3 linked regions of the Saccharomyces cerevisiae S288C genome follow. The gene in region 2 interacts genetically with the main gene of each other region. Each region holds a gene or a part of one and is shown on either strand. Other genes may lie near its edges.

Region 1 (11,624 bases), on a different chromosome or scaffold from region 2:
AGGGATAAGAGGTGGAATGCAATGTCAGAAGAGGAAAAAGACCACTATCTAAGTACTACTAGTGATGCTGGTTCACGTAGACTCGATTTTAGATTCTATCACTGAACTATGTAGAAATATGGATACAATCTCCATGTTATGTATTTTTTAAGTTTGTGAATCATTTTTTTCATTTAATGTTCTATACTATTTTCAATAAGATGGATTAAGGACTTATATTTACCCTATTGCCGTTGGTGTTTATGAACTAATCACTCTTTTTCCTTAATTATATGTTTAGGTGATTGCTTAGGTTTGTTTAGGGTATGATGAGCTTATTCACTATATTGTTGAGTTAAATATTCGAGATTTGAAATTTATAATTTGCTATAAATCTTGGTTTTCTTGGTCGGTTCCACAAAAAACTGTGCCAACCCAAAAATTTTGATATTTTACGTGTCGAAAAATGAGGGTCTCTAAATGAGAGTCTGATACCATGACTTGTAGCTCGCACTGCCCTGATCTGCAATCATGTTCTTAGAAGTGACGCATATTCTATACGGCCCGACGCGACGCGCCAAAAAATGAAAAAAGAAGCAGCGACTCATTTTTATGGAAGGACAAAGTGCTGCGAAGTCATACGCTTCCAATTTCATTGTTGTTTATTGGACATACTCTGTTAGCTTTATTACCGTCCACGCTTTTTCTACAATAGTGTAAAATTTCTTTCTATGTTTATCATATTCATAAAATGCTTCACGAACACCGTCATTGATCAAATATGTTTATAATATTAATATACATTTATATAATCAACGGTATTTATATCATCAAAAAAAGTAGTTTTTTATTTTATTTTTCATTACTTTTCACTGTCTATGGATTTTCATTCGTAAAGGCATCAGTCTCTAGTTTGCGATAGTGTAGATACCATCTTTGGATAGAGCCTTGGAGATAGCTGGCTTTAATCTGGTGGAGTACCATGGGACACCGGTGATCATTCTGGTGACTTGGTCTGGGGAAATACCAGTCAACATGGTGGTGAAGTCACCGTAGTTGAAAACGGCTTCAGCAACTTCGACTGGGTAGGTTTCAGTTGGGTGGGCGGCTTGGAACATGTAGTATTGGGCCAAGTGAGCTCTGATATCAGAGACGTAGACACCCAATTCCACCAAGTTGACTCTTTCGTCAGATTGAGCTAGAGTGGTGGTTGCGGAAGCACCAGCAGCGATGGCGGCGACACCAGCAGCGATTGAAGTTAATTTGACCATTATATTTGTTTTGTTTTTTAGTGCTGATATGAGCTTAACAGGAAAGAAAGGAATAAAAAAATATTCTCAAAGACATACAGTTGAAGCAGCTCTATTTATACCCATGCCTTCATCAGTCATCACTACTTAAACGATTTGTTAACAGATGCTCATTTATCACTTCACACCTTTCATGTTTCATCTTTCGCACCATCTTCATCATTAAAAATAAGATGCACTTGTTCCTGAACGAGGCATGCATATATCATGAATTTCTTATGCGAAGGTATTGTTCTATGGTGCCTATGTGTATTCGTATGTGGGGGAAGTGAGAATGCCAATTGTAGGGGTGTCGAGATGTGCCTTGAAAAAACCCTTTTCGCGTGCCTGTGATGCTTCCATTTTGGTCAAAAAAAGAACGTCTGAATTGAACGCTCATTCAGAAGCTTATTGTCTAAGCCTTTATTCGGTGTTTTCTAAACGATCTCCATGGAAGAAATATTTCTATCTCTTGAAATCCGTACAAGATATCAGACGTGTGTCGGGAGTCGTATACTGTTGGGGTCTGCAAATCTGTGAACTCTCGGCGATTATCTTGGTGCAATTACGTAATTGTAGCCGCTGAAGGCGGATGGTATTGACAGAAGTTGATATTCAAAGAATCGTGTATGATAAAAATAAAACTGTAACCATTTCTTAGTGGCAGAATTAACTCTACACAGAGGGAAATATTTGATTCCGAGATGCAATCCCCCTTTTCTAGCCAGATATGAAGGAGAAAAGTGAAACGGCAATAGATAGCGCTACTTTATTTTATTCTATTTTAAAAAAGTTCTCCAGGAGAAATACATTAATTATTGATACTCCTTGTAGCTTCTACGTCAAAAGAAATGTCTCTATCTTTATGGTAACGGCTCACCGTCAGAGCTCAATTGTGCTTCTTGAATGTATTTCCAAAGTTCAACGTTTAATGATCTAGGCGACAGGGATTTCTTTGAGAACAAAAGGCCACGAAAGCTCCGTTCAAAGAATGCCTGACAACCAGCCCCACTATAGAGAAACTCTTTTTTTTTTCTAAACCCATGAAATACAGTTCCTTTTCCATACCAAAAAATGAGGAAAGAAGCATGTGTTGGGAGTCGCAGGCAGTCGTAGAGGTTTACAATTCTAACCATTTTGTGATTCGTTGTAAGTCACCGTTCCATGGTAAACGTATTCTTAATTCTGCTTTAAAAAACAGGCACATATGTTATCGCTCTGATTTTCGTCATCCAAAAACATATGATAGCAATAATTTACTACTCGTTGTTGTGTTGATATGGTTAAACCACTCCTTGGAAACACAGGCATAGAAAAAGTAGGACAGATTCTTCTTCATTATGATTTAACTTAACATAAACAGGGTTTTTTAAAAAGAATTTATTAATGTTGAAGATTTATATTGTATAACATTGGACGGTAGTCAGTATCGTTCAACTTATATAAAAATAATTAGAAATAAGTGAGACAAACATAGGTTTATTGGTATCTGTCAGACTAACGATAAACTTAAGGTTTTATGAGGTTTGAAGCTTTCAATGCGTAAAACGATCCCAAAAAATACAGAAATTTGTATTGCATTCAAACATCATATCTAAAAATAACCAAAACAATTTTAATTGTGAAACAGTCACTATTAGCAAATTGATCAAGAGTTTCGACTGTAGAGCTTATCACCAAGTCAGTTTAATTCTACCGGGTCTGTATATGTACAATCTGAAGGGAATTATTACTGACAAAATCGTCCTCTTTTTATCACACTTGGTCTTTCGTAGTCCACAAGAAATATATGATTTTACTATGTGGTACTTTTTAAGTGCAAAAGGTACACGGGAGCTGGACACTCGCATATTTTTATAAAACTCTCTGTAGTTCTAAGCTTCTGATAAGAGCATCAGTACATCTGTTTTTATCGTATTATAGACACGATTTGAAATCTTTAAACTTTATTCGATTAGTTGATCCTGATGATCATGGACCTTTACCATATGATCCAAAATAAAAATGAAAATTGAGTATAGAGGAATAAACAAACAAGTTATACGTCATAATAACTCAAGTAGAGATCAAAAAAAAAAAAAGAAAAAGAAAAAAAAAAACTTTACCTCATTGAGAACTCAGAATAGCTTGTATTTGATAGTCTTTTTATAAGAAGGATTTAAGAATTAAGACGAAGATAATCTTCCAATCAGCAATTTTATCAGTGTGTGGGTGGGCATTCTGCTAAATACTCTTCAAGAATAAACATGCATGCACCAAGAGCTTTAATCTGTTTCTTAATAGAAGAAGTACTGGTATTTTAAAAATTAGCAATTCTAAAAACATTACTATTAGACATAAGGGGGTGATTTCTTTCTTGCACGATTCTATATGACAGTTTTGTATGGAAAATATAGCATTCATTTGTCTTCAGAGCTGCACAAGAGGTATATACGGCTGCCAATTTTATAGCGCTACATTGGAAAATTATCATAACATATCATTTCCAATATTTCTATTGCAGACCACCTTATTTAATCACTGTATCTCTTTAAACTGGTCTAAAGCTGTGTTTAATCGTATTAAGAGGCGAAAGTACATGATGGAACTGAAAAAGCACTGTTACAATTACCAGGTGAGTAGGATAGGAAATCGGAAAAAAAATGGGTGCTTCTTTCTAAAAATGGCCAACAACAGAGTTTTCTCAGTCAAAAATAGCCCAAGATTATTGCTCTTCTTTATATAAGATTGAATAAGCCATCACATAGATGCGTGCTTTGGTGACTTTTTTTTCCAGCTTTTATTTTAATACGTTCTTGCTTGTATACTATCCCACTTTATATATATTACCTAAACTTTATTATTTAAAGCTCATCATGGTGGTCATGGCCACCGTAACATTGATTATTAAAGCAGCATCCACTCTCAAATCCCTCTTTTTGGACAGCGCGTTTGGATCCACACCACTCTTCACAGCAAACATGACCATTCTTCTCTGTGCACGTTTTAATGCATGAATAGCCCTTTCCACCGCAATTGTGTGCAGATGAATAGCCGAGCGATTTACCGCAATCAGTACAACCTCCAGTCGAGATACGATACCTTGCGTTAAGACACCCTTTTCCTCTTTTTAGCATTTCTTGGTTGACTTGTTGGCGAAGAAAAGAAAAGTCGGCGTCAAGAATATTAATTTTGGTAACGTTTGTATCAAAGCCAATGGTAGTACCATTGAATTCAGTTATGATTAGATTGATAGTACCATTGGTTTGCTGTAAGTTTACTGAGTCGACAACAGAGCTAGCATACGCATGAATCTCGGTCTGATTACTGTCGAGGGTTCCAGCATGAACGCAAGATTATACCGTCGCCAACAAGCTCATTAATATCGTGACCATGTTTTTTGAATTCATCTTCATAATACAAAAGTAATCTCTTATTTTCTAGTGTCCTTTTGGTGATATGTAAAGTATAACAATATATCTTCTCTTCAAACTGTGAAGGATTTAGAAACTTTATAAAGACAAAGTCGGAGAAATTCTCTTCACAATATACTGTATCCAGCCACTGCCCTGATAAATCGAGTTCACAGTATTGCATATGTGCAGTGATTCCACAAATGGTATTGGTTTGGTCCCAAACTCGACAAAACAAAGAAACTAGCAGCGTATATATAGTACTTATTCTATGGGGCTATTCATTTAATATTTAATCTGTCTGACCTGGCATTCTGCAAACTGTCGGTAGGAAATTACGCGATCAATAAAATTCCTGTTGATGGGAGGGAGAAGACAAGCGAACTCTACGCTTTAAGCAGAGCTGGTGGAAAAACACCATAATAATCCGAGGCAGCAGTTACGCTAAATGGAAAGAAATCGTTAAAAATAAGGGGCAGGCAGGTGTGCTGCTGAAAAGGTAAATGAAAACCAGTGAGTACACTTCTGCATGGATTTTTTTGGCAACAAATCAACGAAAAAAATACTCACAGCTTCCGAATAAGACGGCTTTCCATCAGTATTATTAGAGAATTATGTGGCTGTAACCTTGCTGTTTTTACACTCGTTCCAAGTAAAAAATGCTCATCTTACCATTTTAGATAGAAAAAAAAAATCCTACCTGCCATTTCTAGTCAGCAGAATCTTTACAACATATTGCGAATTTTCTTCAATATTGGTTTATTTTAAGTGTTTGATAGAGTTTGGAGTTCAATAATTTACGCTTGATGCTTAAGTTATTTTTAGTAATGGCACGATAATTAATGCTGTTGTTACTCCCTTATATGATACTACGCGGTAAATCATCATTATACGGAAACCTTTAGATATAGTGCTGTCAACTGGAATTATTATATGGGAAATAACAATTTGTGCATTTTGCATTGAACAGCTCAGGAGAAGAATTAAGTGTAAATTTGGGAGTTTGCTTTCAAATCACCGCCCTGAAAGTGAAGCAACAATCTTGAAGCCTGCTGTATTGGAAGCATTGGAATATACGTCACTCCCTGAACATCTTGAATCTTTTTTTTATTGCTAGCTACAGCTTCAGTTAATTTTGTCACCTTAGACTACCAATTGTTTTATTTTGTATCTTTGGTATGATAATCTTATTCCGTCTCGTATTATACTTGTCCTGTTATGATCTCTCGAAGCAAGTTCTAAGAACTTGTGAGTTTTATAATACTCCTAGGTTTAGCCACTTTCCAAAGATAGAGCAATCTTTTTGGAATTGAAATGTCAGAGGGATGATTCTGACGATAGACATTTTTCTGATGAACTGTTGCGTACGCACGCATAAAAACAGTATAACTTTAGGTGGTAGCGGTAGTGTCGACTTTTATTGGAATGAGAATTAACTATCATATATCGACTAGTATCCATAGTACGTGTATATTATCGTATACAACGTAAGAAAGACATAAATATTGAGAAACAGTCAACGATTTTAGTAGAGGTTGAAACGCGAGGCTTGATAATTTCATGGGATAATGAATGACGGTATATAAAATGAAAGAAGATGTAATAATATTCATTATCATTCAAACTTTATCTCAGCCCATCCTCATCTTTTTCAGTACTGTATGTGAACTCGTCCACAAACACCGTATAGCTACGTCCTCTTTCATTTTCAGGTATGTATCAGCTTCTTGCATCACGCCACCACTAGCACAACGAAAGTATACAATACAATGTCATTAACCCTAGATGCTGTTGTTCCTCGATGTTGTGTATACATACATTAACTCGAAAGTGCGATGTTAATGATGTCCCAGTGCTATATAATAAATCTACAAACTAAAAAATCTTGATCACATCAACCAAAAATGTATCTTACTGCTAAATGTGTCATAAAAGGGTTCCAGTATCCTTACTACACCATTATATAGAAGACTCTTTATAATTTCTTCCGTCAGAATAATTACTTATCAATAGATTGTTTAACGTAGGAGGAGTTGGATGAGCGCAAGCATTTGTTGAGTTATTCGCAACTGGATGAACATAATGTCCTTCTTCATCATATACACGCATTACCAAATCCATTATATCTGTACAATAATCAGTCTCAGAATTATATGGCTCAGGTCCGTTATAAGTCGATAGATCTAGGTTACTGTACTCATAAGAATCTGTAATAGCCTCCAACTCAACTAAGGTATCCCTATAAATCAAAGATTGCTGATCGCCGGGTTCAAACCGTCCCGTTCTAAGTGTTCTACCACTTTTATCAGAATAAATATCATAGTAAGATGCTTGGAATAGCCAGCATATTTGATTGTTTGTCATATTAGTTGGCAAGTTGAAAAATACTTGGTAACCGCTGGTGATATCAACATATGCGGAGCATAATGAGTACAATTGAGAAAAAATGCAAAATAAACCAAATAAGGGAACCATTTTTTACTAAGCCTCTCTACCCTTTTAAAAATGGTTTTGACTTCAAACGCTTAGGAAGCAAACATGCTACTGCTATTTTTTGTCCAAAATTTTTATCCTTTATAGTTAATGTTTTTAGATATTGCGCGGATCCATTTAAAAGCAATTTTAGTTTGGTTACATAATGTTCAGACATGTATTTTAAAAGGTTAAGCGGCGTGCCTTAAAGCATTTTACTCCCGAGTTTGATTGACTCGCTTATGTTCATAGGTATATTAAACAAGAATTATGGAGAAAACAGTCTTTAACGTGTATTTTTAAATCTATATACATAAACCGTAGGACGCGGCATTCGACTGCTTTGATAAGAATTCAAAAGTTAGTGTCCGGAAATCTATTTTTAGTAAAAGTAATAATGTTATTTGTACAGAGTATTGCAGAAGTTCTCTTTTAGAGTGTTATGAATTCATGAAATCGAATCTATAGCTTGCAATATAATCAATGCCATAATACTACTGTTGAAATAGAGAATTTGGTGAATAATTGGATAATTGTTAGGATTTTCATTATTATTGAAGGCTATAATATTAGGTATGCAGGATATGCTAGAAGTTCTCCTCAGATATATAGCAATTCATGAAGGATCGTCGATTATTCTATAGAATAGTATTATTACTTCACTTTCCATTTTATATGTTGTGATTCATTATCTTATTACATTCCTAATTCTTGAGTGTCAGCTTTCACTAAATTTCATGGCTGTTTCTCTATCTTTATGTCGCCTTCACTTATTTCTACACTCCTCAAGATTAAGTATCTAATTTTTGTAGGAAAACGACACTGCAAAGAGTGGATCAATATATAATAACATGTTTTAAATAAACGTCTACTTATGATGGAAAACATTAACTTGTGAGTTAGGATTTTTTGTATATGAGATATTTTAAAGAAAATTTAGTTCCAAAGGAGAAAATGACTTGCACAAAAATGACATGGGCAAAATACCTAATATTAAATGAGCTCTATCTACAATCCGTGCAGCTATACATACTTTCACGCTTGTTATACATTAATCAGCGAACCATTATAAGTATGGGGCCACTAATATTTCATATATTCTCTGATCTGAGACTGTTGGAGTCGATTTCTCGCACAATCAGCACTGGTTAAAATTTCGTGGGGTTACTGCTTCTTTTAAGTCGGTCAATGTTTTCTTCATTCTTTCGAACTTTGAATATTTTTTATGACGTCAATTATAAGAAGTATGAAAGTCAGGTTAGCAACAGCTAAAACTAAATAATAAAGGGCTCAAGCAGGCTTACGGCAGGTGGTGATTATATTTACACTACTAATTTTTTTTAATTCGTTTACGCTCTAGTAAAAGTTCTTCGCAACATTTTTTTTTATATTTCTTTATAAAAACTACGGGAAATGACAGGTGCGAATAATCTCATTGATTTTTGTATTGTCAAGCCCATTTAAGACTATAATATTGCTGAAATAAACGTAACAAACGTATGGATATTCACTTAGTTAGAAAAGAAAAATAAAATAAAACTAATTCGAACTTTTTGTTGTTTTTTATTTCAGACAACAATATTATACTGTTACACGCCATTATTGATTACTACTTACATTAACAGTGATTATTTCAAAGAGAATTCTAGTTCAGGAAAGAGCTTAACACTATATTTGTATCGCTAGTACTCTCCAGCTCAATATCCAATTACACGACGGAGCCATGATTGTTGTTTGATTTTGAGCTTCTCTTTCTCTCGTTCTTCTGCGGAAAGACTTTGCTTCTTGTTTACAGTAAAGCCACGCAAGAAAAAACAGAGAACAGCATTGAAAGCCGCAAACGAAATGGACACAATTATCAATAAGCGTTGAATCTTCGAATAGGATTCTATCATCTGAACACGAACCTCTGATCCAATAGGGTATTTTTTTAGATAATTGAGTGGTGATTTGTAGATTGCCATCCCTAAACTAGAGCCGAGTCGCTGTATCAACTCCTTTGCCAGACGCTGAGTCCATATAGCACCAGCGATGGAAGCACCTACTGCGTCTCCGATTTGATAAACGGACATTAGTAACCCAGTGACAGTTGCCATCTCATTGTGGGTGGTTGAAGCGTGCACTAGCGTCCACATAGGAAAACGTATCATACCACCAGCTATACCGACCACAATCTCAGCGCCAATAAGACCCGAAATCCCGTCATATACCACCCTGTATTTGTACAAAAGACCCATTCCGATGACACCAAGAAGCGACCCAGCGACTACAAAGACTTTCGGATGAGGATAGAAATGCAGCATAATGCCGACAACAATATTAGTGCATGACTGTAGAAAATTGTAAAGCTGAGCTATCCGCTGCGCACTTAATGTTGATTCTCCGAATGCTACCATTAACACGGTGACCAAATACTCTAACTCAATCTGCAAACCTAGACGCCATACAAATTCCATTAGCAATGCAACGTAGATGGTTGGATCACCTAGATATACTCGTGGGATAAATGGATTCTTAGCAAATTTTAATTCCCAAATTAGAAAGATAAAACCTAAGCAGCCACCAACCACAATCATTGCAATAATGTGACCCTCTCTCCATTTGGAGGTGGCTCCACCAGCTATTGTGAGAGGTAATAATACTAAAACTAAGAAAGCAGTGAAAAGAATGACTCCAATTAAGTTTATGTCATCCGCAAATTTCCAGAGCGTTTGACGCAGGGTCTGTCCTTTTTCTTTCAATTTTAATGGTGGTAACTTACCGCTGCGCCAGGAAATGTACTGAGCATACACATAGGGAAGGACCAATATTAGGGTGGAGATGGGCACAATGATGCAAAAAATTCCATAGCCCCAACGCCATTTATATGGTGCAACATTACCAGCAACTGAGCTAACAATATTTCCACTTACCCATGTGTTTATAATCACGGGAATCAGAAATATGTTCATCGCAAATGTACGATCTCTCAATCCAGACAGATCACCAGTCAGTGCTGTAGCAAGAAGACGAAATCCAGAATAACCGAACTGTTGTATAACAATACCTGCAAAAAGTCCGGAAAACGTTGGAGTAGCAGCAGAAATAATTTCTCCAATAGTATAGAGCACAAGCGCAAAAATCCAGCATTCTATACGTCCAAACCGATCAGATATACGTGCGTATGGCACTGCGACAACAGAGGCTACTATTGATTTGACGGTATTGATCGATCCTACTTGAGAATGCTTTCCAAAACTGTTAGCGGCATAGGTTTGTATTGATTGCGAAATCTGCCCTCCGAGTCCAGTACAGTAACCCTGCAAAAACAGAGCCACCAGTAGGGCGGTCTTGAGTGAACTAAACGTAACTCCAAAAGCTGTGAAAGAGCTGTAGTCAGACAAGACCTTGTTGACAGCGTCTATACGGCGCAAGCCAGACGTGGTAGACTTCTCAACATTGCTATCTGTCTTTTCGCTGTAGCAGACAGTGCTTTTATCGTCTAAATTGTCATTCCTAGAGTGATCAGTTTCCAGCATTTTCAGAGAGACATTCACGAGCACTTTTTTGCTATATTAGAGTTCTGCTAGGACCCAAACCATCATTTCAATTAAATAAGTCATCTCTATTATCCAAACATAGACCCTTCGCCACTCAAAAGCCACAGAGGGGTGCAATTGTAAGCCGTGGCAGCCTCTATAATAGTATACATTTGTATCACATTTGGGTGCAATAATTTAAACAGATTTTTGCAGTTGACTCAGGACTAAGGGCAATTCTTGCCCAAACTACGGAACCCTGTTTCTGATCCGAAGGGCTTATAATCCATAGAAACCCTTACATTTGCTCACTGAAAACCCTGTGTCCTTATTTGGTATATATGATGCGAGGATTAAACGAAAACGGAAAATTTTAGGTTTGAGGGTCCCATTAGTTCAACTAAAAAAGAAAAACGAAAAAAAAAAAAAACAAAGTCAAACCATAAAAAGTTTTGAACTACAGAAAATGTAGGCTTGTCTATTCTCCTGAATTTGACTTTTTTTTTTTCTAACTTTTTCACACCCCTTCATTAACTAATTAAAACTGTCGTAGAATTTCCCTTCATTTTTATTCAGCCATCCTCAGTTAGGAACGATTGATACAGCCTTCATTCGTCATTTCGTGACTTGCATGTTGGATTGGAAAATTTGCTGGCGGAGCAAAGTCAAGACGTTCAGAGGGAATAGTAAATGAGATTGTACGAACCGGTGAATATATTTTGCTGGCTAGATTTTAAATGGCCATTGTGTTATTGCTCTATCAACATAAAAGAAAGTATATGTGTTTTCAGAATCGTAAAATTTGTGACAAACTAAAAATCAGTATCTTCATAAAAGTAGTAGAGACATTTCATAGGTACGTTCCGCCCTTAGATAAATGTGGCTGCAGTTCATAATGCAGTGTGTAGTAGAGATGATTCTGTTGATCATAAACAATAATATATAATTTCACTAGTACTTGTTCTTATATGCAC
Region 2 (7,030 bases):
TTCTAATCCAACCCTGATAAACCTGTCTCTTAACGTACCCTCCATTACCCTACCTCCCCACTCGTTACCCTGTTCCATTCCATTCTACAACTCCAACCACCATCCATCTCTCTACTTACCACTAACCACCGCCCACCATAACCGTTACCCTCCAATTACCCATATCCAACCCCACTACCACTTACCCTGCCATTACCCTACCATCCCCCATCTGCTACTCACTATACTGTTGTTCACCCACCATATTGAAACGTTAACAAATGATCGTAAATAATACACATATACTTACCCTACCACTCTAATCCCACCACCACATGCCATACTCACCTTCACTTATATTGATGGGGCATACGCACACGAATGCTACAGTATATACCATCTCAACTTACCCTACTCTCATATTGCACTCCACTCCATGACCCATCTCTCACTAAATCAGTACTAAATGCACCCACATCATTATGCACGGCACTTGCCTCAGCGGTCTATACCCTGAGCCATTTACCCATAACTCCCACGATTATCCACATTTTAATATCTATATCTCATTCGGCGGCCCCAAATATTGTATAACTGCTCTTAATACATACGTTATACCACTTTTGCACCATATACTAACCACTCAATTTATACACACTTATTTCAATATACCCACAAAATCACCACCAAAATCACCTAAACATAAAAATTATTTATCTTTCAACTTTACGAAATAAACATATTGACTTGAAGTATGAGCACTACCATAACGTCATTAACGTAAAAGTTCCTTAATATTACCATTTGCTTGAACGGATGCCATTTCAGAATATTTCTAACTTTCACAGACCATACATTAGAATAATATGCCACCTCACTGTCGTAACACTCTATATTCACCGAGAAACAATACGGTAGTGGCTCAAACTCATGCCGGTGCTATGATAAAATTGTATCCTATTTCCATTCCCATATGCTAACCGCAATATCCTAAAAGGATAACTGATGCATCTTTAATCTTGTATGTGACACTACTCATACGAAGAGACTATATCTAAAGAAGACGATACGGTGATAGGTTTGTTGTTTTTGTAGGAGTCAACGAAACGCCAAATAATTCTACGGTAATATAACTTATCAGCGCCGTATACTAAAACGGACGTTACGATATTGTCTCACTTCATCTTACCACCCTCTATCTTATTGTTGATAAAACACTAACCCCTCAGCTTTATTTCTAGTTACAGTTACACAAAAACTATCGCAACCCAGAAATTTTGATATTTTAAGTGTCAAAAATGAGGGTCTCTAAATGAGAGTCTGGTACCATGACTTGTAACTCGCACTGCCCTGATCTGCAATCTTGTTCTTAGAAGTGACGCATATTCTATACGGCCCGACGCGACGCGCCAAAAAATGAAAAAAGAAGCAGCGACTCATTTTTATGGAAGGACAAAGTGCTGCGAAGTCATACGCTTCCAATTTCATTGTTGTTTATTGGGCATACTCTGTTAGCTTTATTTCCGTCCACGCTTTTTCTACAATAGTGTAAAAGTTTCTTTCTTATGTTTATCGTATTCATGAAATACTTCACGAACACCGTCATTGATCAAATAGGTCTATAATATTAATATACATTTATATAATCAACGGTATTTATATCATCAAAAAAAGTAGTTTTTTATTTTATTTTTTCATTACTTTTCACTGTCTATGGATTTTCATTCGTAAAGGCATCACTCCCTAGTTTGCGATAGTGTAGATACCGTCCTTGGATAGAGCCTTGGAGATAGCTGGCTTTAATCTGGTGGAGTACCATGGGACACCGGTTATCATTCTGGTCACTTGGTCTGGGGCAATACCAGTCAACATGGTGGTGAAGTCACCGTAGTTGAAAACGGCTTCAGCAACTTCGACTGGGTAGGTTTCAGTTGGGTGGGCGGCTTGGAACATGTAGTATTGGGCCAAGTGAGCTCTGATATCAGAGACGTAGACACCCAATTCAACCAAGTTGACTCTTTCGTCAGATTGAGCTAGAGTGGTGGTTGCGGAAGCAGTAGCAGCGATGGCGGCAACACCAGCAGCGATTGAAGTTAATTTGACCATTGTATTTGTTTTGTTTGTTAGTGCTGATGTAATCTTAACAAGAAATAGTGAAATGAAAGCGCATACCTCAAAGGCATATAGTTGAAGCAGCTCTATTTATACCCGTTCCTCCATCTGTTATCACTACTTAAACGATTCGTTAACAGATGCTCATTTAGCACCTCACATATTCTCCATATCTCATCTTTCACACAATCTCATTATCACTATGAAGATGTTCTTGTTTTTGAACGAATCATACATCTTTGATAGACTTCGTATGTGGAGTACTGTTTTATGGCACTCATGTGTATTCGTATGCGCAGAATGTGAGAATGCCAATTATAGGGGTGCCGAGGTGCCTTGAAAACCCCTTTTGCGCGCCTGCGAAGTTTCCGCTTTCGGTCAAAAAGAAAATCCGAATTTAGATTTAAGACCCTCGTTCAGAAGCTTATTGTCTAAGCCCATATTCAGTCTGCTCTAAACGGCTTCCATGGAAGTAATATTTCTATCTCTTGAAATCCGTACAAGATATTAGACGTGTGTTGGGAGTCGTATACTGTTGGCGTCTGCAAATTCGTGAATTCTCCGCGAATGCCTTGGTGCAATTACGTAATTGTAGCCGCTGAAGGCGGATGGTTTTGAGAGAAGTTGATGTTCAAAGAATCGTGTATGATAAAAAAGAATGTAACCAGAAGCAGGATTAAAACTCGACGCAGAGGAAAATATTTGATTCCGAGATGTAACCCCCCCTTTTCTAGCCAGATATGAAGGAGAAAAGTGTAAGGGCAATAGATGGCGCTAATTTATTGAATCCAATTTTAAAAATGTTCTCTAGGAAAAATATTAATAGTTGATCCTCCTTGTAGCTTCTAAGTCAAAATAAATGTTTCTATCTTTATGGTAACGGCTCATAGTTACAGCTCAATTGCGCTTCTTGAATGTATTTCCAAAGTTCAACGTTTAATGATCTAGGCGACGCAGATTTTTTTGAGAACAAAAGGCTACTAAAGTTCCGTTCAAAGAATGCCTGACAATCAGTCCCATCAAAGAAAAACTCTTCGTTTTTCCAGACCCTCTTTTCAAATAATCGTGTATTCGTTTTCCTTGCAATTGTATCCCATTTTTCAGGGCTAGCACCCTGCTCGTTTATAATATCTGATAGGTACTGCATTTTATCATCAACTTTCATCGATTTAGGCCTTATGTTTTGAAAATCATCTATCATTCTAAAGAAAATGTCTATTAGCCAATAAGATACCAAGCATGCTGGTGATAAATTTGCACAAATAAAGAAGTCAGACATATCAGGAAGGAAGTCTAGTGGAGAGAAAGAAATCCTGATTCTCTGGCAACTCCATGCTAGCTTGCAGCGATAGGTTTCCTTAGGAAGCTTGACATTTTCCAACATAGTAAGTTTGCATTCCTTCTTACCATGGATCAACCTCCACTGTGCGTTTACTTTTGTAAAATAAACCTGCACCGCGTCTTCGGTGTAAGGGACCAAAATCTCAATTGAACTGAACCTAGGATCTTCGTTTTGTCTCCTCAAAACAGCTGGCTCTAGAATGGTTTTCCTGAATGCTTCTTGGCAGTCAGTACCATTAAAAAAAAAATGTGCAGTTTTCCATGCTTTGTTTTCATACAAGTAGGAATTGAAATGTATTGCAACAGCGTCCCAATCAGCAGAGTATGCACCTGGTGCACTTTTGATGATTTCTTTAGAAAGCTGGGTGAGTTGATTTGATAAAGTATATTTACTGTACTGTATTTGAACTACTGGCAAAATAGCAATTAGCGCCAGGATTAGAACTACTGAAGTCAGAAGGGGATAAAACCAAGTACTGGCCATCCCCCACCAAACGGCAAGCGGTAACCATGATAGCGACCAGATCCAAAATCCTGAGTTGCGAATCTCACTGCACAACCATGTTAAACGGTTTCTGAAAATATCCTCGGGCAAACAAAAGCTACTATGGGTCTCAAGACCTTTAGAGGACAAAAGTCTAATCTCTTCCCCCATATTCAATATAGTGTATTTCACATTAATGTTATGAGGTACGTAACAAGTTTACTGAGGTTTAATCACTCGCAGTGTTTTTTATATAATTCGCAAGATGAAATTTGTTGACAGCGCGTTCATCACGCAGCTGTTGAGTTTTATAGTTAAAGCCACGATCAAAAAAAGAGCAACAGCTTCGAGCAGTTTCGAGTGAAAGAGAATCTATGTTGGTTTATGTTCCGGAAGCACGGGAGAAATGGACTTCACTCAAGTACCCAAGTTATCACTAAAATGTAAGTCAATGTATGTTTACAGATACGAGCTGCGATGTTTTATAATACATGGTACACAATAGGTGAAGTATTGTGGCTTATTTTTGAATTATCAAACAATGTAATAGCTTTCCAAAGCATACCATATAACTCCTATGAATTAAGCGGCGGTCTCATTATAAAGTCGGGACACTTTTTGGTCAAAGCTCTCGATTAGTTTTTGAATACTGTGCAAAGTCTTTAATGATATTGTCATCAGTTCATAATCGAATTCTCTGGTACATTTTTTCTTATTTTATTGATCAATGTTAATGTCAGTTTGCTGGCTCTTGTTTTTTTTTTTTTTTTTTTTTTTTGACTGTTAGTTAAGTTGCCCAGCTAAGCTTACTCAATGAGTTAAGTATTTATTTTCATATTTTCATCATAAAATACTGCGCTATCTCGTGCCCTCGTCTCTTATACAATAGGCAGTACTTGACTAGAATCTAGGAGTGCTTTTCCTGAAACTCTCTATAATAACAACCCATCTCCCGCCGATTGTATAGTGAGCCAAGTGTTCTCATAATGGGGGTCTTGAAGAAGACTTCAATGGTGTCTCATAGTAGCAGTACTAGTAGTGCTAGGAAGATGAGCATTGTACAGCTTACTTTTCGTTATTAGTGATACATGACTGAGTGATTGTAGTTGGTAATACTGGATTAGTAATCGTTAAAAAGCGATAAAAATTAATTGAATGTCCACCCTGCATGATTAGTCCTTTTTATCTGGCTGGACAAATGAAGCCTATTATAAGTATTAATATATTAGCTGCTGCAGACTAGAAACGAAAGCAGTGATAAATCATTGATAGACACACATTTCCTCATCGTTGTTCTTCATTATTTACAGGAAAGAGCAGAGAAAGGAAGAAAGAAATTGCAAAATATATGACAATTAACACAAAGAACATAGTTGTTGTTGGTGCTGGTGTGTTTGGTGTGTCTGTGGCAAATCACTTGTACAGGGAACTGGGTGGGACATACGCAATAAAGCTCGTCACAGCATCTAATTATGTGTATTTTCTACCCTCAGCTGTCCGTTTGACGGTTTCAAAGGATTATACCAAGTCGATCCTGCCGTTAAAAAATGTTCTTGATAGTGGTATTGAAGTTATCAAAGATACGGCTGCCAGCTTTGATGATAAGGAGGTAGTTTTGGGGTCAGACAGGGCCATAAAGTTTGATATCTTGGTTCTTGCAACTGGCTCAAAGTGGGCTGATCCAATTGGTTCAACTTATACCTTCGGGGATAACTATAAAGAGTATTTTGAAAGAGAGGCTTCTCGAATCTCAGATGCAGATCACATACTTTTTCTTGGCGGTGGCTTTGTTAATTGTGAACTAGCTGGTGAATTGTTATTCAAGTATTTGGAGGAGATCAGGTCTGGCAAAAAGCGTATTTCCATTATTCATAATTCCGATAAGCTACTGCCGGACTCTGGGTTATACAACGATACCCTAAGAAAAAATGTGACAGACTATCTCTCAAAAAATGGTATTACGTTGTACTTGAACACAGTAGGGGCTTCTTTAGACACCTCGCCGAAACGTATTTTTCTAGGTGAGGGCTCATCTAAATATATAGATGCTGATTTGATTTACAGAGGCGTTGGTATTTCTCCAAATGTGCCGGTCAACAGTATTTCAGACCTTTGTGACAAGAAAGGGTTCATTCAAGTTGAAAAAAACTTCAGGGTAAAAGCTGTTGAGGCAGGAAACGTTTTTGCCATTGGTGATGTAACGAATTTTAGATATCACGGATTGGTTAAAAGAGATAATTGGGTTGATGTTTTGACCCGAAATGTTATAAGTTCTTTACAAGAAGGAACAGAGGCTAGTCTCGTTGATGCAGATTGTCTTGAGACAGGACATGCCCCAAGTGGTGTCTCCCTTGGGCCAAATGCAGGGTTTGGCCAATTTCCACTACCGTTACTTGGGACGATTAATATTCCATCGTTTTTAATTTCTAGAGCAAAGTCGAAGAATCTTTTCTCCGACAAAATGGAACCTTTATTCAAAAAATAGACTAAAATATGAACTGCAGCGTATATATATATATATATATATATATATTAGTTTCTGTATTGTGAAACAAAGAAGGCCGCTGGAAACAACAAATGTTGAACTTCGCATTCAGATAATAATCTATTAAAACCCGAAGTTACTCGAAAATGTTAGCTTTGGATTCTCACACTATATGTAGTTTCTTTGACAGTAGTAAAACGGTATTACACCTGTGCATTAGAGTTATCAATCGCTTGATAACAATTTGACATTTTGGAGGGTCCATGAAGATAGGTACTGATTTTACTCGAAGTGTGAATGTTTTATACCGAAGTTTTGTTATATAGAGATACAGATATCAACAGGATTGACCACCTTCTTTTTTAAACCTAGTATAATGGGGACGGTGAGAATTAACAGTTAAGGTATAGGCGTGATGCCATGGGAGGGGCAAATACGGAACTGGAGTAAAGTATTGTGTGGTTTAGGTGCTGGGAAAAAGAAAGCATTAGAATGCTCAATAAAACAGCGGCTTCCCGCATAATATTTTTTTGATTATTTCATTCCGAGAAAGGCCGATATATGCAGAGGCTACGTGTTGCTTGCCAACTTCAGTATACTTTGCTTGCCACTACCAGAAATTGACCCCG
Region 3 (12,187 bases), on a different chromosome or scaffold from region 2:
GAAATTTCCATTCGGGAAATAGAGAGTGCGGGTGATATCACTTTTAATAGGGGCGATTTACTATCTTTATCCTTTGATGAGGAATTGGGTCAGGATTTTGCTAATTTTCTAGACGCTTTGGATCATGACTCCACATCTTTCAATCATGGGCCGGATGATTCATCCAGTTTTCAAAGAGACAGTTCAAAGAAAAGCTTCAATTCTCTTTGGGAAAGCAGTTACGAACTAAAACCGCCACCTTCCATAAGAAAGCAACCTATTGCCCCCGACGTCCTGCAAAAATTATTAGAATCAGATACTAAAGATGACGCAGATTTGGAAAAAATTAGAGAAGAGCGTATAACTGAACCAAGGACTGGTTTGGGGATTGGAATGCTGAAAACACCAGTTAAGGATGTTTCAATTGCGCTAGCTGCAAGCATTAAAGGATATGAGGCAAGTTTCAGCGATACTGACTCTCGTCCAGAGGGCATGAATAATAGTGATGCCATCACTTTGAACATGTTCGACGATTTCGAAGAAGATAAAATGACCCCTTCCACTCCAGTTCGTAGTATAAGTCCAATAAAACGGCATGTTAGCAGTCCTTTCAAGGTCGTGAAAGCTGGAAACAAACAAGAGAATAATGAAATAAACATTAAGGCTGAAGAGGAAATAGAGCCAATGACGCAGCAAGAAACCGATGGTTTGAAACAAGATATTCCTCCACTGCTAGCGCAGACAAAAGATAACGTCGAAGCAAAAGAAGAAACGATAACTCAACTTGAAGAACCACAAGACGTTGAACAAGAATTTCCGGATATGGGAACACTTTATTTAAGTATAAAGGCTATTTCCACGCTTGCATTATATGGAACTAAGAGTCATAGAGCAACATATGCTATTGTTTTTGACAATGGGGAAAATGTCGTTCAGACACCCTGGGAGTCGCTTCCGTATGACGGTAACATCAGGATCAATAAGGAATTTGAATTGCCCATAGATTTTAAAGGAAAAGCCGAAACATCCTCCGCTTCTTCTGAAAGAGATAGCTACAAAAAATGTGTTATCACATTAAAATGTAAATATGAAAAACCTCGACATGAATTGGTCGAAATAGTAGACAAGGTGCCGGTGGGTAAGAGTTTTTTTGGAAAGACAAAGTATAAATTTGAAAAGAAGTATGTACAGAAAAAACCTAAACAAGATGAGTGGGATTATCTATTTGCACAAGACGGTTCATTTGCTCGTTGTGAAATTGAAATTAATGAAGAGTTTTTGAAAAACGTGGCATTTAATACCAGTCATATGCATTACAATATGATTAACAAGTGGAGTAGAATCGCAGACAAAATTCACGGCTCAAAAAGGCTGTACGAGTTACCACGCAAGGCGCCTCACAAAGTGGCTTCGTTGGATGTGGAAGCATGTTTCTTAGAAAGAACTTCTGCCTTTGAACAATTTCCCAAACAATTTTCATTGGTCAATAAGATTGTTTCCAAATACAAGTTGCAACAAAATATCTATAAAGAAGGGTATTTATTGCAGGATGGTGGTGATCTGAAAGGAAAGATAGAAAACAGGTTTTTCAAACTGCACGGCTCGCAACTTTCTGGTTATCATGAAATCTCTAGAAAGGCTAAGATCGATATTAATCTGTTGAAAGTCACGAAAGTCCTACGTAATGAAGACATCCAGGCGGATAATGGAGGGCAAAGGAATTTTACAGATTGGGTACTCTTTAATGAATGCTTCCAGCTAGTATTTGACGATGGTGAAAGAATTACTTTCAACGCGGAATGCTCTAATGAGGAAAAAAGTGATTGGTACAATAAGCTCCAGGAAGTTGTTGAGTTGAATGTTTTCCATCAACCCTGGGTGAAAAAGTATTGTGAAAAGTTAGCTGAGGAGGAAAAGACTCGAACAACCGGTCATAATTTGAAGCAAGATTTTAATTAGAAGGTGATTAATGGAATGAAAACAGCATATAATCTGATGACTGAGAGGTCTTTAGTTTAAAGATTAATTAAATACACATAATAAGAGTAAATACGTGAATCATGGACGATATATTTTTATTTCAATTTCACAGATCCCCATTCATTTCGAATTTTGATTTTGATTTTGATTAGGCTGTTGGTTCATGGGTGGCATCATACCTGGCATGGGGAATGGTGGAAAGCTACCAAACATAGGTAAGGGTGGGAAGCTTGGATGCATTGGTGGAGCGGGAGGGTTTGGTGTTCCAGACATACTATTACCCATATTACTGTTCAGATTAGACATATTTGCATTGTTTACGTTGTTGTTGTTATCAATTATATTACCGAGGTTTGAGTCTGTATCATTCGCGGAATTCAACTTCCCTTGCTGTTGGAGGGATAATAGGCCCATTAGGATCCTCCTAGGATTATAATCTTGTTGTAGTTTTTCCTGTCTATGTAAATACTCCATCCAGGTAAATTCGTTAAAACCGTAATTGAAATAATCACTTAAGTTGGCCCCCGGTTGCCTCCAGGGTTTCTCCTTTAATACTTCAGGATCTATTGTCGTTATGCCAACACTATCAAAGATTCCCTCTTTATCCAGGTCTATAGAACCAGTCATTGCTTTCGGTACATTTCCATCGCTCTCTGTAGCTTTTACGGTCGTTGCCGTTACACCTTGATTTGCTTCTCCTTCTGTTATTAGTCTTTCATCTGATGTCTTTGTGATGGTATTGGATACATCTGTAGCTACGCTAATTACGTCTTTGCTTGAAGATGTCGCTGCGGTAGAATAAGAATCGAGTAGTTTTGCATCTAACCTAGTAGGGTCAGGACCCAGACTTATGATAACCTCTAGGTCAGAATCACTATCGTCATCTGAGGAGTCAGAGTAGATATCTTCATCAGAACGATCATCTCTGGCAGTAGCTGGAGTTTCTTCCACGGGAGAGTCGAATTTTTGCCTTTTAACTATATCAGGATTACTGGACGCACCTGCGTCTGCTTCATCATCTCTTGATCGTTTAGATGAAGGTAGTGCTAATTCGGAGTCGGAACCATACAAGAACTTGTCGTCTTCGTCTTCACTGGAGCTCATTTAGAGAAATGCTAATAATTTTAGTGTAGGCAAAAGGAATAAGAATGCAAAGCACGATGGTGCGGTTTAACAAAGTGAATTTGGTGATGTACTCTCTCAAGATTTATGTCGCATTATTCGCTACGAAGGTTTTTCAAGATTAAAACGAATCTCCTTTCCCATCGCGACATACGATAAGGCTAATAACGCTACGGTATTATGTCATGGAGCTTGAGACATTGAATACATATATATACCTATATATAATATATATATATGCAAATACACAAATTCTTAGCAATTTGAGTGAGACAATGGAAATAAAGAAATGAGTGTGAATGGATATATTTTGAGGGAAGGGGGAAGATTGTAGTACTTTTCGAGAATTAAGAATAGGTTTTACTAAACTTGTAGGATATTTCTTGAAACCTGACCTTGTCATAATAATCTTGATCATTAGAACTGCTGAAGGAGTAAGCCGCAGCATATCTTGACAGTTTGGAGTTCAACTTTTTTAGGAATTCTAACTCTTTTGAATTTAATTTTTGTAGTGATGGCGGTGGTGATTTTTCAACGTCGAAGGCAATTTCTAATGGGTAATAGTAGGAGGGCACCTGAGGTTCATCTATAAATGGATCTGCCTCATATACATTATCGGAGGCGTTGTTATTATTGCTGGTATTATTATAGTAATTACAATTAGTGCTTTTATGGTTGCTATAGTGACGATTATTAAAGGAATGTATGTTATCAGTATGTGGTGGAAACTGATCTTGATATTGGGAGTATGAATCCGTGTTTTTTGAATTTATTGATTCATGAATATTTGTGGGTTTTGAATAGGTATAATTAGTGGTATATGGGTAGAAGTCTTGTGTGTATGGGAATTCATTGAATTCAAAATTTTCTTGGAATATTTTGATATCTTTTTGTGCATTTGTATTAGTTTCATATTTTATTGTGTCACTAATATCGATATCATCTCCATTTCTGTTGCTCTTTTGAAAGTTATCATGGTTATTGAATGATGAGTGGAACGTAGATGCGGATTCATCATTAGAAAAAAGAGATGATAATGAAGAGGATCTGGTACTTTCAGAGCTCTTTTTTCCTCTTTCAGGACCAGTTGCCATTGTGCAGTCCTTCGTAGTTTTCGTTTCCTTGGAAATAGGCTGAGAATCAATATTTTCCAAATTCAGAAACTCTTCATTGAACAATATTTGAGGATTAATTAAATGAATTGGTTGTGTATGAACCAAGTTCTGCAGCTGAGATGAGGCAATTTTGTCAGACTTTTCAAAATGCCAACTTCTAGGGGAAATTGTAGATCCAAAAGAAAAACAAGGACGGTCTTCTTGATCGGTGGTTGTGTCATAATAAATGTTAGGTTGTTGTTGCTGTTCAAAAGGAAAGAGGAAGAAACCATCTTCTAAGGCAGCGTGAAGTTTTCCATGCATATCCGCTTGCATTTTGTTTGTGGGGAGAGGAATAGAAAAGCTTTTCTTTTATTATTTTTTTCCTTTTTCACCAGTAATGGGTGCCAGTAGGAATTTGTTTCTCTGTAGGTGACTAATGACAGTAGTATATTATGCTTTTAATCTTTAACAATACTACTGGTCGATTTATAATATGATAATGTAAAATAAATCGTAATAGGATAGTCGATGTTTGTATCTACTTCACGAAACAGTTATGGTATACGGTAGTTTAAATATCTGAAGAAGCAAAAATACCGAACTACAAGGGAAGCATTTTGAGAAAAATATTAAGATCAAAAGATAATTAATTTACCTTAAATACATAAAAGAGGAAAAGTAATATACAAGGTAAACAACAGGCAAGGAACAAGATCAAAAACGTCCGACCCCAATTTAGTAGTAAATTACAGTAAGAGAAAAAGGTATTGGGGCTGATACATATTAATTGTGCGTTGTTGTTGTTGTTTAATTTTAGATTGGCTATTATGAGTACACACAAAACGTTGTAAACGCAATCACCCATGGATAAGCGCTCCCTTTAAAATGCACTACGAAATCATTGATCTACTAACTTTAAACCGGACTTAAACCATCAAAGGGTGCTCTAGATCTCATCGATGTATTCTGATGCAGCCAAAATTGCGCAATCAATCACGTTTCCCGATATAGAAAACTAATTGGCTGTGTTACGTGGCTGGGGGTTCTGTAATTCCTTTCTTCCCCGGTGAATCATCAAGATTGGGCTAAGCGCCTTTGATCCTTTCCCTCGAAGACGGAAATGGGGCCGCAGGATAAAAAATGGTGTGTCTGTAATTCCGATTTTTTGCTTATGTAATCATGTAACTTTCTTCTAGTCCCTTTGCAGACATGCATGACACTTCCTTACCCGAATAGTGAGTTAGATCTGTGTTAGGATGCAGGATGGGCAGTTCAAAGGCTTTTCTTATCGTATCTTTACCTTTTCCTGTAACTAAGAAGGTTTTTGAGTGCATGTAAAGGCACATAAATGAAACTTTAATTCCCTGCGTATTTAAGACCCAAGAAGCCACCATGACGCTTCCTTGATGTTGTATCTACCCCCAATCCTGGCGCCCCCTCCTGCGGGCACGCATGCGCCTTTGATCCTTCCCCTCGAAGACGAAAAGTAAACAAAGATACGCACTTTTTTTCTCCAACGCAGTATTGAAGGTACCATCACATGCTTACTCACTTTGCGGCTGCTATAACACCGTGGCAGTGTAACGTTTTACCGTTTGTCCTTTGCTACCGCATTTTAAAGTGGTACAAGATGTTGAGAGAAAAGATTTCCTGCAGCCATGATTAGGAGAGGTAATAGCGGATGACATCAACGAATAAGCTTTATCCAGCGGCTTGTATAGTTCTGTGTACACAATTACTGCCGGGCTCTCTGAGCATTTGCGTTTCTCGGGCTAGCTTCATTACTTAGTAACTTCAAATTAATGAAATATTTAATTATCATGATTCCAAACAAAACTACTTTAATTTCAATCACATTTTTGTTATCTGCCTGAAACGATAGCTGTACGGGTACGTTCTTGATAAATAAAACTCAGTGTTTAAAACTCTCTTTTTACATCTGTTCGCCGATGATTGCTTGCTCGGAGGTACTAGTCATCGGAATTGAGGAAATTCCTTTTCTCCTTTGTTTTCTCTTTATCCCCGCGTAAATACGCGGAATGCCAATAATCAAGTACACATTCTTTCTCCAAGTTGGCCAAAAAATAGTTCAAATTCTTTAAACTAAGCGCTATTAATTATTATTAATTATATAAGTTTGAAAATATCAATGCAGGACCCTATTTCTTCACGAGGGTGTATCCAGAAACGGTTTCTTATATAGTGTTGGCGCTCACTTTTTTCCTACCCACGTCTATATATGCAACGCCTACTTGTTTTAATCAACATCACAATTTTATGCTTTTGAGGTACAGCAGTTAGCCGTACGTTTTCGGCAGTCGCTAAAAATGTAAGCGCGGCATTTACTGCCATTTAGTGGACTTCTTGAGGTTCTTTTGACATCCGCATTCTTGCAGCAAATACACCCCCACCCTTCTTTTATTGAGAATATCTACTGAACCTCCGTGAGGGAATACATTAATCAAATTACTCCAACACCATACGGGCCGTGGCGGAAAGAACAGCATGATATAGATAATATATGATATGAATTGATTTTTTTTTCTTTTTTTCTTGCGGCTGGTATGGTATTGTAAGGATGATAGTGCATTCTATGAGTGATTTTTGTGACGGTGACGTACGATCTCTATACCTTTTTAGCCGCCCATCTTCTGCCTTTCATTTTTATGCCAACCCTCCATCCATACATCCTTTTTAACCCATACATATCATTTAGATTATTGTTTTTTAATTTTTTTTTTATCAGATGTTGTTCATCGCGAAATTTATAATCTTTCGATTGAATCGCACTTGTCGTGCATAATGATAAATACCTTCCGGAGAGAAAACTCAGACCCACTGGGAAGTTCCTACCTGCCGAGTAAGACCAGCTTGAAAAATTTGAAATTTCAACTGAGAATCAGAATATATTACTGCCCTTCGTGTTGTAGGGTTATTCATTAACTATATACGATATTATAAACAGCATAGATAATCAAACAAAAAAATGTATGCATATAATAGAGGAATTGGATGACTAAATGTTCTTATATTGGAGTTAGTGGAGATGCGTGGTAGATTTGAATTAAATAGAAAGTGCTGGGGTTGATAAACCACGAAATATCGCAGTTGAGGAGAATGATAAGCCAGGATAGATGGTAGCGCATTTTTGGGGCAATCTCACTGTAGGTCCACCACAACTCAATATGACTACATCGAATCAGTTATAAGGCAAGTTTTTAGTTTACTAACAAATATTTCCATCTTATTTTTTTTTTTTGCAGGGCTAAGAGAACAAAGAAGGTCGGTATCACAGGTAAATACGGTGTCCGTTATGGTTCATCATTGAGAAGACAAGTTAAGAAGCTTGAAATTCAACAACATGCCAGATATGACTGTTCCTTCTGTGGTAAGAAGACTGTTAAGAGAGGTGCAGCTGGTATTTGGACTTGTTCCTGTTGTAAGAAGACCGTTGCCGGTGGTGCTTATACTGTTTCTACTGCAGCTGCCGCTACTGTTAGATCTACCATCAGAAGATTAAGAGAAATGGTTGAAGCTTAAACTTCTTTCATTCATTTTCTCTTGGCTTTCACTAGGTATATCTATTCCATAACGACTATGTTTTGTATTTGTTAATTTACATAAAACCATATCAGTACATCAACGAACTGTAAAAAAGAAACTTTAGCATAATTATTGCGGATATTTAAACTCACTTGCAGGTAAGAGCAAAAGGCGATTGATTTCCAGTCCGCCTCTTGTCACGTGATTTAGTAAGAAATTTTGACAGCACCCTCGGTTTAATGGAAAAGAGGGGCGTTTTTCGATGAACCCGAGGGGAGACTAGAGAATCATCTCGGTTGAATGGAGCATTATTTTTTTAGTAGCGCCCGCCCGGAGAAATGGACGTTGGCGAATGAGCCATGAATTATTAACCGCCCATGTCTACCAGATACCACATCGTATGACAGTACCAGCCTAGTCCCGGTAAACCGCAAACGGACCTTAATTGTGACGAAGGGCCCAAATTTGATGGGTCGGTGTTAATGATTAGTCCTCATTGTCATAATAAAGTGTGATGATGGAGGCAATGATGATATACGGTAGTACTACTGCTCGAGGTGCTATCTTTTAACCAATCCTTTGAGATTCTTGTCGCCACGGAGTTACTACCTTTTACAAACCGTAATGTCACATTTTGCATATATCTTATGTATAAATATATAGTTCACTTACTACTTGTTCTCGTTTTGTTAACTTTCTTGTTGTAGTTCTTCTTGTTCTTGGCGTTTCCCCCTTTGTTTTCTATCTGCTTCATAAGTAAAGTGCAAAGCATTTTGGAAGATATTATCAATTGAGTCATTGAAAGAAACTTGGCATCTTCCCTATTACTAAAACTAAGAATACTTGATTCAAGAAAGAAGTTTATATTAGTTTTAGCCGTAAGATAACATAACAAAGAAGAAGAAAGAAAAATGTCTCAAAAAAAGAAGGCTTCCCATCCAGCCATCAATCTCATGGCTGGCGGCACAGCAGGTTTATTTGAAGCATTGTGTTGTCATCCTTTAGATACAATTAAGGTGAGAATGCAAATATACAGACGGGTAGCTGGTATTGAACATGTTAAACCCCCAGGATTTATTAAAACTGGGCGTACCATTTATCAAAAAGAAGGTTTCTTGGCTCTGTATAAAGGTCTAGGTGCTGTGGTCATCGGTATTATACCTAAGATGGCAATCCGTTTCTCGTCTTATGAATTCTATAGAACCTTATTGGTTAACAAGGAATCAGGAATTGTGTCTACCGGTAATACTTTTGTTGCTGGTGTTGGGGCTGGTATCACCGAAGCTGTTCTTGTCGTGAACCCGATGGAAGTTGTAAAGATTAGGTTACAAGCTCAGCATTTAACTCCGAGTGAGCCAAATGCTGGTCCTAAATATAACAACGCCATTCATGCAGCCTACACTATTGTCAAAGAAGAAGGTGTTTCTGCCTTATATAGAGGCGTTTCCTTAACTGCGGCAAGGCAAGCAACTAATCAGGGTGCTAACTTCACAGTTTATTCTAAACTGAAGGAGTTTTTGCAGAATTACCATCAGATGGATGTCCTACCTTCATGGGAAACTTCTTGCATAGGTTTGATTTCGGGTGCTATTGGGCCGTTTTCCAACGCTCCATTGGATACTATAAAGACAAGGCTGCAAAAGGATAAGTCCATCTCATTGGAAAAACAGTCCGGTATGAAGAAAATCATAACCATTGGTGCTCAACTACTGAAAGAAGAAGGTTTTAGAGCTTTGTACAAGGGTATTACCCCAAGAGTGATGAGGGTGGCTCCAGGTCAGGCTGTCACCTTTACCGTTTATGAATATGTAAGGGAGCATTTAGAAAATTTGGGTATATTCAAGAAGAATGACACACCAAAGCCAAAGCCATTAAAGTAGATGATGAACAATGGGACTACAAAATGAAATAAAGAAAAAATAGAAATAGGCTAGAAGATCAATTATTAATCGCCCTATTCTTCCTTATTACCTACACAAAATAAAGCAGCAACATAAGAAACAAAAACAAAATGAAAACAAACCAAATAAATCTATGTAAGCATACTCATTTCAATTTGATATTCATTACTTGACTTTTTTGTCCTTATTTGAGGCTCCATAAGCGCGCCATTTTTCCCTACTCCCTTTTTTCGTAAATAGTAATAATGTGCTGAAAAGAACAATGAAGTAGTTATCATACATATTCCGTCGTGTCGATATGAGGGGAGGTGTCTCTTTCTTTCATCCCTTGTCGCAACCTCCAATATATAAGAGCATAAGCAACTGATCTTACTTTAGTAATTAACTTAGCATACCTAGCCCGAAGGAAGAAAAAAAATTCACCTCAACAACATGGTTCCTAAGTTTTACAAACTTTCAAACGGCTTCAAAATCCCAAGCATTGCTTTGGGAACCTACGATATTCCAAGATCGCAAACAGCCGAAATTGTGTATGAAGGTGTCAAGTGCGGCTACCGTCATTTCGATACTGCTGTTCTTTATGGTAATGAGAAGGAAGTTGGCGATGGTATCATTAAATGGTTGAACGAAGATCCAGGGAACCATAAACGTGAGGAAATCTTCTACACTACTAAATTATGGAATTCGCAAAACGGATATAAAAGAGCTAAAGCTGCCATTCGGCAATGTTTGAATGAAGTCTCGGGCTTGCAATACATCGATCTTCTTTTGATTCATTCGCCACTGGAAGGTTCTAAATTAAGGTTGGAAACTTGGCGCGCCATGCAAGAAGCGGTTGATGAAGGATTGGTTAAGTCTATAGGGGTTTCCAACTATGGGAAAAAGCACATTGATGAACTTTTGAACTGGCCAGAACTGAAGCACAAGCCAGTGGTCAACCAAATCGAGATATCACCTTGGATTATGAGACAAGAATTAGCAGATTACTGTAAATCTAAAGGTCTCGTCGTCGAAGCCTTTGCCCCATTGTGTCACGGCTACAAAATGACTAATCCAGATTTATTAAAAGTTTGCAAAGAGGTGGACCGTAATCCAGGTCAAGTTTTGATTCGTTGGTCTTTACAACACGGTTATTTACCACTACCGAAGACTAAAACTGTGAAGAGGTTAGAAGGTAACCTTGCAGCCTACAACTTTGAACTGTCAGACGAACAGATGAAATTTCTTGATCATCCTGATGCTTATGAGCCTACCGATTGGGAATGCACAGACGCGCCATAAAAAGAAAATGCGAACCGTAGAATAACGTATATAGAACATATAATTAGTTTACGTTTCACAAAGTATTAATATTACATGTAGCTTTTTCAGGACTTTCGATCTAAATCAAAGATTAAAGGAGCTGCTAGAGGTAGAAAAGGAAATCATTGACTTTTCTTGAAGATTTATGAGCGGGTAACTGGAGATGGAAATTTTCAGAAAAATTGTAAATGGATGCGATGACTTCGATGTGACGTTACTAGTCTTACCATTGTAAAAACCACTATCGGTGCCAAAAGATAAGCGCAATCAACTAAGAAATTTACCACGCTCTTTGTATTGTATTTATCTCCAATTTAATCTTTCTTTTGGTGTGAAAATTTAGCGAAAATGTCATTGGTGAATTCGTTAACACACTACGAAATTTTAAGAATTCCATCGGATGCAACACAAGATGAAATCAAAAAGGCATATAGGAATCGGTTACTAAATACGCACCCCGATAAACTTTCTAAAAGCATACATGATACGGTTAGCAACGTCACAATCAATAAGATTCAAGATGCTTATAAAATACTATCGAATATAAAAACTCGTCGCGAATATGATAGGTTGATCCTTGAAAACTATAAACGCCAAGGATTTCATAATTGTGGTGATGGGCTGGATGAATTTTCCTTAGACGATTTCTCATTTGATGAAGATAAGCTGGAGTTTATGATGAATTGTCCTCGCTGTCAATTTGTTGGTGGTTTTCATTTTAGTGAGAGTTTGTTAGATGAATGCATTGATAATGTAGACGCTATGGAACGGAGTCATTCTGGTTATCAATTATTAACCCAATGTAGCGCATGCAGCTTATGGCTGAAGGTTAATTTTGACATCGAGGAAGAGCAAGAAGGACAATAATGAAAATGGGAGGGGAAATTGAGCATATCAGATAAATCTGTTTATAGAATTATTATTTTACTTCGTGGGAAATCGAATGGTGTATATAAAAGAGGTTGTAAAATTGACGAAATAAATAGTATTTAGGCAACTAAAGATAAAAAAATATTATTTATTTTTATTCGCGGTGCGTTGCCAGATTTTTTTTGACATGCGGAATTTTGGTAAAAAGAAAAATGCAGATATGAATAGTAAACAAAGGAATAAAAAGCCTTTCATGAAGAAGTTCGTGTTCGAGATCTTCTTCCTTCTTTTTCGCTGTCGACGATAGATATGAATGCTTTTGCCATTGATTTCAAATCCGTCATTAAGCTAACATGACCTGAAGAACTGGCGATTTTACAAACAACTGGAAAG

What was found.
Region 1: mutations in COS10 (region 2) and YOL159C-A together harm fitness more than expected from each alone (negative genetic interaction), as found in Saccharomyces cerevisiae (one large-scale study listed by BioGRID).
Region 3: mutations in COS10 (region 2) and RPL43B together harm fitness more than expected from each alone (negative genetic interaction), as found in Saccharomyces cerevisiae (one large-scale study listed by BioGRID).

The regions. Positions count from the first base shown.
Region 1 is NC_001147.6:10,662-22,285, forward strand, and holds YOL159C-A (uncharacterized protein), read right to left. Parts: upstream 4,845-11,624; coding exon 4,572-4,844; downstream 1-4,571. Other genes in the region: YOL162W (uncharacterized protein), read left to right, coding at 1-105; seripauperin PAU20, read right to left, coding at 888-1,250; YOL160W (uncharacterized protein), read left to right, coding at 3,652-3,993; CSS3 (Css3p), read right to left, coding at 6,620-7,135; ENB1 (Enb1p), read right to left, coding at 8,830-10,650.
Region 2 is NC_001146.8:776,973-784,002, reverse strand, and holds COS10 (Cos10p), read right to left. Parts: upstream 4,088-7,030; coding exon 2,963-4,087; downstream 1-2,962. Other genes in the region: YNR077C (uncharacterized protein), read left to right, coding at 462-716; seripauperin PAU6, read right to left, coding at 1,723-2,085; YNR075C-A (uncharacterized protein), read left to right, coding at 2,400-2,492; AIF1 (Aif1p), read left to right, coding at 5,265-6,401.
Region 3 is NC_001142.9:601,141-613,327, forward strand, and holds RPL43B (60S ribosomal protein eL43 RPL43B), read left to right. Parts: upstream 1-7,164; coding exon 7,165-7,166; intron 7,167-7,441; coding exon 7,442-7,718; downstream 7,719-12,187. Other genes in the region: BUD4 (Bud4p), read left to right, coding at 1-1,938; cleavage polyadenylation factor subunit FIP1, read right to left, coding at 2,080-3,063; transcription factor IME1, read right to left, coding at 3,429-4,511; SFC1 (Sfc1p), read left to right, coding at 8,633-9,601; YJR096W (aldo-keto reductase superfamily protein), read left to right, coding at 10,055-10,903; JJJ3 (Jjj3p), read left to right, coding at 11,273-11,791; YJR098C (uncharacterized protein), read right to left, coding at 12,046-12,187.